2 linked regions of the Caenorhabditis elegans genome follow. The protein of the gene in region 1 interacts with the protein of each later gene in a pairwise test. Each region holds a gene or a part of one and is shown in the gene's direction. Other genes may lie near its edges. The genes, in order: npp-26 and hlh-30.

Region 1 (5,715 bases):
ATACGTACTGCAAATATATCAAAACTAAATTTTTCTCATTGCAAAAAGTCTGAATTTATTGATTTTTGAATGAAGTTATAGCTAGTAATATTGATTCTCATGGAACAGCTCATATTGACAAATGTGACAAATTTTGATACGGTATTTTTAAAGGCGCAGCAAAAAATTTTCTCTATGGTCCCGCAACGTACACAGTTTCACTAGATTTTGACATGCCGCTTTAAAGGCACGTGGATTTATTTAAATGGGTAACACGGCCCGGCAAGTGGTACATCCATGCAAATGCGCTCTACTGATAATTTGAGTGTAGACCAGGTTTGGGCGCGTGATAACGAAAAAAGCTTTGGTCCAAAAAATTTAGAATTTAGTTTCGGACATTTTTTATATGCATCACAAAAAAACTGGACCAACCGTTTTTGAGATACACGCGCCCAAACGTCCAGGTATACGGTAGACAAATTGCGTACAGGTACCACTTCTCGGGCCGTGGGTAATATGGGAACAAACAATTCTAAGAATGCGTACTGGGCGACATATTTGGCGCGCAAAATATCTTGTAGCGAAAACTACAGTAATTCTTTTAATGACCACTGTAGCTCTTGTGTCGATTTACGGGCCCACTTTCGAAATGAGTTTCTTTTTGAATAGTGATAACAAATTTCTCATTTTCCTTCGTTATTTTGTATTATTTTCTCACGTTTTGCTTAATTTTAATATTCCATAAATGGTTTTAATTCATTCAGAAATTCAGGCCCGTAAATCGACAAAAGAGCTACAGTAGTCATCTATAGAATTACTGTATTTTTCGCTCCGAGATATTTTGCGCGTCAAATATATTGCGTAGTACGCATTCTCAGAAATTAATGTTCCCGTAATACCAAAGTCATACAGGAAAAGTGAATTTTTCGAAATTCAAAATTTGAACCGTTGATATTTTCTTGTTGATGTTTTGCAAACAACACTCCAGCGCTTGAGCATATTGCCATCAAACACCAATGAGAACGAAAAAGGTTGAATCGAACAATTCGAAGAATTTTCTATTTTAAGAGAAAAGATCTCTAACCAGTGCCTTCTCGCTCCATTATCCTTTGGAACATGTGCGTGTCTCTGCACGCTTTAGACAAAGAAAAATATGTATAATATCTCTAAGATGAGAATTAGAGAATTGGGGAAGGGGGGTCAATTGGATCGGACCACCCAATCTTCCCATCTGCTCATTCTCCATTTGTGACCATGGACAACGGTGTGTCTATTCCATTCCAACTGCTCAAATCACCTCAAAAATCGATTAGTTATGTTCTTCAAAGAATGACTATCGGAGATCTGTAAGTAAAATGTGACCAAATATAATTATTTACAGACCTGCAAGTGGAACTATTCGCTAGACATTCACTAGATGACTCATTTGTTGAGAAATTTCAGTGTAAAAGATGTTGAGTTGGTGCATGAAATGATATTTGAAAGTTTATAAATTAAATTCTTAATAAAACTTGTTCAGGTTCGTCCAAAAATGGAAATAATCGTTTGCCCGGTCTCTCCAATCCACATGAAGCTCACCAGACGCCGTCCAATCATATCTCCATGATTTGAAATTAATTTGAAATTTCGAACGATTTTATATTTTTATTGCTTGATAAATTTGAGTTTTCTGTAAAAAGTTTGAAACTTCAACCTTGAAATTCCCGTTACTGGTCGAGTCCAAATCTACTTTCCTAGAATCCACGTTTTAATTTTGAAATTGGCATAATAATTACAGATGAAATATAGTACCCAAAAGGATATGGATCTAGTGAAAGTTGACGATGATGTCGTTCGAGAAATGGAAATTCGGAGGCAACAGCACAGTAAAAAATACGATCGGAAGTTTGAGGAATTGGTGAAATCGATGAGTGAAGCTCATGTGGAACCAGAGAAAATGAAAATTCCATTTTCGAGAAAACCGACTGAGCAGGAGACCAATAATTTGCGAGAAGAATGGGAAAAAGAGTACGCTGCTCTTTGTACATCTGGAAGGTGAATTTTATTATGAAAACGCATAAAAGTGCAATTTTTGAAATCAAGGTGTTCGGTGGCTTTAGTCAAAAAAAATCCATTTTTTCCGGTTTCATTTCTGGTTTTGCAGCCAATACCTAACGAGACCCAACTTTTGGCATTGGAGCGCGCTTTCACCTCGATTTCAAAAATACGTGTAAAATGAATTTTGAACTATAAATTTCAGAACTCTCGCGCGCCCGAATCCGAATTCCTCAATATTCTCGAAAATCCTTGCTCAAGGATCTCCATCATCTGCAAAAGCTGGCACGACTCGATCAACGCCTCGTACTTCTAAACCTCCTTCCGCTGATGAAAATATAATTTTTGGCCAAAAATTACCTGAAACGCCTGCACCAAAGCTGTTGTGTCCTCCGCGTGCATCTCCTGGAAGTTCACGAAGATTATCGATTTTCGTGGAAAATTTGCCTGAAAATCATGCTGAAATTGTGCGAGGAACTATTTTTGCTGGAAGAGAAGCCAAAATTATGCAAAACGATCCGGAAAATGTACCGAGTACTTCAACCTACGGAGAACCAATTCGCCCATATCTTCTCTTTGCACGATATATTAGTCTTGAGAAAGGGCTTTTGGACGATAAAAATCGCTATAAATCTGCGACAGATCCACGGTTTCGAGAATTTTTGAAGGAAAATATAAAATACAAGGTTATTAAACTAGTTTTCACATTTTTTCTGCGATTCCCCAGCAATTGAGTTGCTGTAACCAAATTTGACAATAGTTGGCGGATGGGTCTCGTCGCGAAAAATTTTGATTTTACAAAACTACCAATTTTTGTGATTTTTTGACTTTTAAAATACTGTATCTGGTCTTGAAACGACAAAAAATGTTTCAGCTACCGTACCGACAAATTATTTTGGAATTTTCGCTCAACTTTTCAATATGTTAAGAAAAAACCATGATTTTGTTGGAAAACCATCAGAAAATACAATTTAAAACAAAAACTATATTTCAAAATTTTGCAACTGTGTAATAACAATATCTAGTTTTTGCTCCAAAAATTATTTCGAGCCAAAAAACGAAAATTTGAAATTTGCAAACAACCAAAAAAAAGTGATGCTTGAATTTATTTTTTAAAGTTTTTTTCTTAAAAAAAAAACAAAAAAAACCAAATTTTTCGTTAAAAAATATCTAAATAATAACAAAGAAGCCCCCAGGTCGTTACCATTAACTCGCGGTGAGACCCAAAATAAAAACTTTATTTTATTCATGCTTTTTCAAAACCATTTTTAGAAAATAACGAAAATAAAGTATGCACTCTTTTCAGGTAAAACAATCCATTAAACATCGAACATCATCGGAAGCTTGTGCTCAAATACTCAACTACTTCAAAACTTTATTACAAAAGCAAGAAGTTCAAGTACTCGGAGGATATGCCCCTGTACTTCAACTGAAAACTAATAAAGATATTGAATATGCCAGTTTATGCATTGTGCATAACTATGTCGTGAGTTTGACCGAAAATTCCTTGCAGATGTTGCCCAAATGTTGCGATGTTTGGGCCAAAATGCGGCAGCAGTTTTTTTCTAAGGAATTCAAAAAATTTTTACAGATACTGGCCGAACGCGACGAAAGCCTAATACCATTGATATCAAGTCATATTACACGATTATCAGTATTTTATGGATATATTGAACAAGTTTTCTGTATTATATTACTGAGCAGATCAGCCCTTTTACGGCAACATCCGGAGGAATGTATGGTCAAATTTCTGGCGACATCGATGAATCCGAGCTCTCCGGATGCTATTAAGAAGTGGAGTCGACAGAAAGCGCATATTATCTTGTTCTGCTCGGTTTTCACTAAAAGTATCGTAATTCTTCTATTATGTGATCGCAGAAAAATGCGTCACTTGAAATGGAGGACGTAAATGCGCTCCACGGAGAAATTAAAGCACTCCGCCTCTAAACGATGGGTCTCGTTAGGTATTTGACTGTATCATCGTAAATTTGAACGTTTCAAAGATTTTTTTCCTAAAAAACATTTTGCCGTTGTTTAGGTTGAAATCAAGGGTGTTCTTAATTTTTTTTTGATTATTTGGAAAGTCGGAAAATCGAAAACAAAAATTTCCAGAACTTTCGATTTTTTTGAGTTTCAAAAAAAAAATTGAAAATCAAAAAACTGTAAGGAAAAAGCTAAGGAAGTTTTATCAGAAATATGGTAAAAATATGTACCTTTTTTTAAAATTTTGGTCGTTTAATTAGATTATGAATTTTCCTCCATATCACTTTTGAATGATAAAAAATAATAATAAAAAATGAAATAAGCCTGAAAACGGTTGAATATACCATCTTGCCGCTAAATACCTAACGAGACCCAACGTTTAAGGGCGGAGCGGTTCACCGTGGAGCGCGTTTGCACCTGGATTTCAAAATACGCATTTTCTGCGTCCTATTAGTATCCAAGTTATTATGGTTTTGAAACAATGAAAGCACATTTCAGACGCCTACTGCTTCTCGAAAGGATTCAAATTGAAGCTAACCGACGAAATTCTATGGAAATACGTGGATGCTTCGACGGCTCATATTCTAGAAATTCCAAGGGGATCGTTCATTCTTTGGCAACTGATAACGGTATTAACTAAACATTAAAATATAAAAAATGTCTTAAAATTTAATTTCCAGACCTGCAAACCTCGTCTCCAAGTCGACAAGGAACGATGGATACAGCTGCTTTTGAATATTAAATTCAAAATAATCCCAGAACTGGATTTAGATTCATTTGATGGTGATGAAGCGATGCTGATGCAGTTAAAACAAACAATTGATGAGCTTCTCCATCCATAATGAGAAAATGTTAATATTTATCTAATTCCAATATTTTTCCTGTACATTTTGAGACTTTTTTCCAATTGTGGAATACGCGTGTACTATGATTTTCCATTCACTGATTTTTCATCCTTCTGCCATCAACATCGAAATATAGTACCCAAAAGGATATGGATGATTTTTCATCCTTCTGCCATCAACATCGACAGAAGACCAACTACCTCCAAACACAACCAACGACAATGGCCTCCAAGGCCCACTTTGTCAAGCAAAGCAGTTTTTTCTGCTAGGATAGAGTCAAGAGGGAATGCTCTATCCAAACCTAACTCCCTCAAACTTCAAACTTTTCTAACGACAATCAGGATTCTCACCTTCGGAGACGTCGAGACGAACCCTGGTCCGCCCAAAACGAGATGGCCCTGCCCAATATGCAAGAAAAGTGATCAATACAATAGTCTAAAATGCTCAAATTGCAAAAACTGGTCTCACAAGTCATGCCTCAAAATGACAGTAGCCCAATATCAACAGAGAGGTTACTCTTGTCTGGAATGTCAATCCAAAGTGGCATCAAACCCACCGTCAAAAAGACCATTTCAACAACAAGGCTTCACGATGATCTGCTGGAATGTGAATGGCTGGCAGGCGAGAACTGATGATATCAATCATATCATCAGAACTGAATCACCTGACGTCCTCCTTCTCCAAGAAACAAAGATCGCGAAAGAGTCACCAGGTTATACCCCTTTCGGGTACAAAGCGGCGCTGAATTCGAGAAACAAATCTGGCGGAGGACTAGCGACATTGGTGAAAGATGGCTTAGACTTCACAGTACTGGACACTTCCTCTACAGCTGGCTCCATGGAACACCTTCGGATAAAGCTAACGAACAAAATGG
Region 2 (5,281 bases), 740 kb from region 1:
CTCACGGAGCACAACGAAAAATGTGTCTTGATGAGAAATCGGGTTAGATGAGTGACGTCGCAAATACGAAACAATATGAGATTAATGAAAAAGCCCTCTATTGTTTCGTTTGGAGGGGATAAGGATAGAGTTTTACCCTTTTTTTGCTGTGAGGGACTTTTGGCCACACATATAGAGAATTTTGGGGCTTAACCTATAAACCTTACTATTAGGGCCACGGCCTAGGAAACGGGGCCCAGGGAGCTAGATTTTGGAACATGAATTTGTAAGCCTATGAGTCTAAGCTTAGGTGTCTAAACTTTCTGATCGGGACCTAAACATATGACCCTGGGGGCCTAAAATTTTAAAGCTAATAGTAAGCCTTTGAACCTAAGCATTGGGACTTTAACTTTTGGAGCTAATAAACCCCTTTACCGGGAACACCACTAGGGACGTTCTGGGAACACCACTAGGGAGGTACCTAAATGTTAAGAACTAAGCCTAGAGGCAAACTTCATGGCCTTAGCTTACAAGCCTTGGGACCAGGGAGCCAAGCCTATAGATCTAAGCCTAGGGTCTTAAGTTTCGGACTCTAAATCTGAAATTCAAACTTACGAGAAATTGAGCAAAAAGTGTTGTCAATTTAAACCCTTTTTCAATTTAATCATCAATATTTGCCCCGACCTCTGGAAATATCACAATACCACCAATCCGGCGCCCCAACTCCTCCTTTATTTCTCAGTTAGCCCCCCCCCCCCTACTGTTTGCCGAGTAACAATTCTCTGCGTCTTGCAAATTCCCAAAACTTCATTGTACATACACATATCACTATCATAATCATCACACACTAATTATGAAAGAGAATAGGCGCCGCGCTTATCAGTTGGCGGCGGGAGGCCGAATTCTCCTTCGTCGCCTAAAAAGAGAGGGTTTTGTCGAATAGTTTTGTTTTATTTTCGTATTTTCTTTGCGTTGGTTGGAATTTAAAACAAACTTTTGATGGCGTCATTGTTGCTTTGGATCATTTCTTTGTCATGTTTTTGTGATGATAACCTGTGTTTGGGTTGAAAAAAAATCGACTTTTCCAGGTTTTTGTTGACTTAGAGACTTTGTGAGGTCTCACTTTTTGAAATTGATAGAGTGCCACTTCCAGACCCCCTAAAACTTCCAGCAAAGCCGCTGGGTAAAAATTCTACTCGGATCATAGAACGATAACATTTTCTTCAAGTTGTCTTTTTTGATCCATCCGTTTTCGCCATTTTTTTGTTTCTGAACCTCGGAAGCTTAAAAAATTCTAATTTTCCTGAAAACCCTGTTTCGAACGACCTAAGTAAGCTTCAAATGTCAGAAGTCCCTAGGTGCAGCTCCAGAAGGCTTAGGTTCTTAGGCTTAGCTTCCTAATTGTTCGCCCTCAAGGTAGGAATTTTTGGAATATTTTGTTCAGGACATCTAATAACACTTTTTGATTTTATTTAGATCACCTTAGATTGCATACTGCTCCATTGCCCGAACCTAGAAAAAAATCCTTGTCCGAACAAAGGCCTTAAATTGTTAAGCTAGCTTTATCTTTTGAATTTCTCAGATTTTTCAAAACCGAATTTTGATCTCCCTCATCTTTTAATCTTCTTCTAATCAAATCAAGCCCATCAAACTGTTCAAAAAAAAAGATCTCTGGCCACCTCCTCCGAATACAGTTTGTTGTGTTCTTCTTATTTTTCTCGACCTAATCTCTGATGTCTTAACTATATGGACCGTTACTATCTTGTAATTAGGATGGGGCCAATGATTTTGTTTAGGAGTTTAGTATTCTAGGATTCCAGCTACGCAGACAGCTAGCCACCCCCAACTGCCCTTAAGTAGCCTAATCGCCATTGTCTCGACAAGAACTTGGCAGGAGGTGGGGGACACAGTAATAAACGAAATGATCGGTGGTGGAGGCTGTGAGAGAAAGAGATAGGGGCGGGCGCGTGTGCGCCCGTGTGCCCCATCTCTCGCGCCTCTCGCTCGATCCTTTGGGGAGGGGCTGCTGTTGCTGGCGACGACCTCTTGATATGTCACATTGTGTCTGCCGCTCTCTCGCCTCGTCCTCTCGTATCACCTCGGTCTCCCGCGACCCCTTTGGGCGCCTCTCTCCCGACCCTTCCACTCGGTTTCTTCTCTTGTCTTTCGCTCTTTTCCCTCTCCCCCTTTCGAATTTTTTTCCTTTTTTTCTACCAACCAATATACCTTTTTATCGATTGATTTTTTTTTAATTCTCAGATCCCGATACTGAAAAAAAAAATCAGCGAATAAGAGCATTCATGATCCGCCAACTAAATTCACCAGGCGGTGGCGGCGGCCTCGGATTGAACAATCCGAGAGCCCAGCAGCCACCGGGTGCTCAACAGCAGCAGCAACCACAACAAGCCCAGCAACAGTTCTACGATGACGAGCCATATCAGGCTAACGCGTCGCAGTTTCGATTTGGCGCCGGCAAAAGTGTAAGGGCTAATAATTTTCTAGGTTCAGGTTTAGGCCAACGACATTTGGTCTTTACACCCTTCAAATAGCCCCGTTTCTTATCAGCTCTCTTTCCCCCCGCTTTTAGTTTCCTGCTCCGGGCACCCAACTTCCTTCCGGGACACTTGAGTAGCCTAACTCACCAGAACTTTGTCTTGAAATTCGCTCAAGATAAGACCCCCATCTGACGATTGATTGACCGGTCATGTGTGGTGACAATACACAAAAAGAGAAAAGAAACAAGAGAGCGAATGAGACTTGATTGTTTTGTAGTTTGTGGTTTCGGCGGTCCGTTTGGGCTTGACACAGGCTTCTAGTTTCAGTCCTATCAACGTTCTTTGAGCTGATATCAGTTTTGACCTACTTTATCAATTTACCAATCGCATTACCATTTTCATTGCGAGCCAAAACTCGCATTAAAAATTTACAAACCTCGCTTAAAATTGTACTTTGCTCTCTTCGCCCATTTTCTAAGCTTGATCCGATTTCAATTTCAAATCACAAATCGAATTTCAAACTCAGTTTTCTCATCTCTCGACGCCAATTGTCATCACTTTGGGGCCGGCGAGGCGGTGGCGACAGGGGCAGCTAATTTATCAAGTAACAGGGCTGCTCAGTTTTCTGATCGGCTTTGATTTCCCTATCTCCCAAATTAGAGAGATATAGACACAATGTTTTTGGCACACTGCCAACTTCCCGCCCGCCGCCGCCGCCAATATAGTAGTAGTAAACAAAGCAGAGCGCTCATGGTGCATCAACGACCGAAATTTAGTAGTTATCTTTCCATAATGATTTCTATCTCTTTTCTTATTTTGTATTTTGAGATGGAACAACGTCGAGAGACGGGAAATCTGATTCCAATCGCACAACGATCGATGGGCTCGACGTCGACACCGTTCGGCTCAGCGCCTACACAGAGCTACTTTGGCGGAGGGAGCAGTGGAGCGGCATTAAGTAGTCCAAGGAAGATGCAGCAGACGCATCAGATGTTGTTCGGCAATATTCAACCGGTTAGTTTCAAATTTTATTAAAAGAAAATTTTTGTTTTCTTACATTGTTTGAGCTCAAAGTCTCTACAGAAATAAAACAAAAAACGAAACAAAATACTGCATTCTAACATAATTTTTAACGATTTTATGGAAAGTTTAAAGGTAGTTTACAAGTTTTTTTTACCCAGCTCAATTAATAGTAAGAAAAAAAGCAGAATTTTTGGAATTTTTTTCTTATGAAAAAAAGTGGGCCTGAAAGGGCTCCCCGGTAACTAAATTGTTTTGTGGTTCTTTTTTTTTAATCTGTGTAAAAGTACCTTTTTCAAGAGTTGGGGTTTCTTGGCTCAAAATAAGCTTAAACCCTGCTCTTCTTCGCTTAAAGGCGTAGGCACACAATTAAATTGCTCGACATTATAGATCTTCAAACTTTACGTAAAAATTTCTTCCAACTTGCTCCCCTGAAACTGATATCTTTTCATTTTTCTTGTAGATCTCCCTTTTTTGGCATCTGTTGTTAGCCTAACGTCGTAGGGTCAAATTATAGAAGTTTGAATTTTTACAAAAAAATTGTTCTTGATTGGCTTTAACAATATGACCCCCCCCCCTGAGCCATGTATTTGTTTTCAAGCACTTTTGCGCCACGGCGCCCATTCCATATTTTTCCTTCCACATTCTGCGGTCTCTCCCACTCCCAGATGACTCCACCCTAGACGGAACAGCTGAAAAACGAAAAACGGGCGCTGAAAAAATCTTGCGTTTGGCACGTAGCCCCCCCCCCCCCCGGGTCTCTGTCTGCCTCTTGGACAGTGTCACGTGGTGTTCGGCTAGCTTCTCTCGGCGTCCGGTTGTTTTTACACTCTCCGATGGTCTCTGACGTGTGGTAGTGGTGGTGGATAGGACTGAGAAGACAATGAGATGTTTGAGTTGAACTTTCAAGTTGATTGGTTGGGTAGGGAGGGGGCTGTATGTGGACTAAAAGGTCGAATAGGACCCTAGCTATCAACAGCGCATCAAATAAAATTTGACTTTATGATACGAGTCTGTACCATTTGACTAGCTCATTACAAAAACCCACGAAGCTAACTCCAAGTTCCCGGTATTTCGTTTGAAACTTTTTTGCCAAACTTCGATGCTCGTAGAATTTATCCAAAACCAAATTTTCTGAGATTATTAATTTTTCAATGTTTAGGCCAAGCTTTTTGAAACTTTTTCTGAAAAAAGCAGAGTTTTTTTTTCGATTATTTCGAAATCCGTCGAATTTTTCATAATCGGATTTTCCCAGATTTATAACGCATTCTCAAAGCTTTTTGGAAATTTTTAGGACTTTTTCTCCCCATTTTGTCAGTGCATTTTCGCTAGTTTCAAGTCCCGTAGAATTTCTCCAAAACCAAATTTTGAGAGATTTTCAATGTTTTAAAGCATGAGGAAAACTAGGCAAATATTCTGGAAGCTTTTTGGAAAAAAAAACATCTTACAAAAAAAAATTGAAATTTCTCGGAACCTGGGATCTTTTTTTTTTCACAATCAGTACATTTTCCCCCTAATTTTGAAACCTGTAGAATTCAGGGAAAATCTGATTTTCATAGAATTCTAATGTATTTAAGAACGTTGAGAACTTAACTTTTTTCTAGAAATTTTTTCGACCATTAGAGTTTGTTTCCCAGGAATTCGAAACTTGTACAAATTTCGTTATCACTCTTTATTTGAACTATTTTTCTAAAATTGTGAAGTCCTAATTATTAGTGTTGTACGTTTGAATCCGGATTCGTTTTCGCATTGAGACCCAATTTAGTTCAATTCAGAGCTTCATTACT

Evidence for each region.
Region 2: the proteins of npp-26 (region 1) and hlh-30 interact in a two-hybrid assay, tested with the Caenorhabditis elegans proteins (one large-scale study listed by BioGRID).

The regions. Positions count from the first base shown.
Region 1 is NC_003282.8:4,762,968-4,768,682, forward strand, and holds npp-26 (Nucleoporin GLE1), read left to right. Parts: upstream 1-1,754; 5' UTR 1,755-1,780; coding exon 1,781-2,013; intron 2,014-2,218; coding exon 2,219-2,699; intron 2,700-3,319; coding exon 3,320-3,499; intron 3,500-3,604; coding exon 3,605-3,860; intron 3,861-4,494; coding exon 4,495-4,625; intron 4,626-4,676; coding exon 4,677-4,838; 3' UTR 4,839-4,989; downstream 4,990-5,715. Other genes in the region: Y17G9B.2 (uncharacterized protein), read left to right, coding at 1,234-1,325, 1,499-1,520.
Region 2 is NC_003282.8:4,025,085-4,030,365, reverse strand, and holds the start of hlh-30 (Helix-loop-helix protein 30), read left to right. Parts: upstream 1-2,238; 5' UTR 2,239-2,279; coding exon 2,280-2,459; intron 2,460-2,554; exon of another isoform or gene 2,555-2,638; intron 2,639-3,302; coding exon 3,303-3,488; intron 3,489-5,281.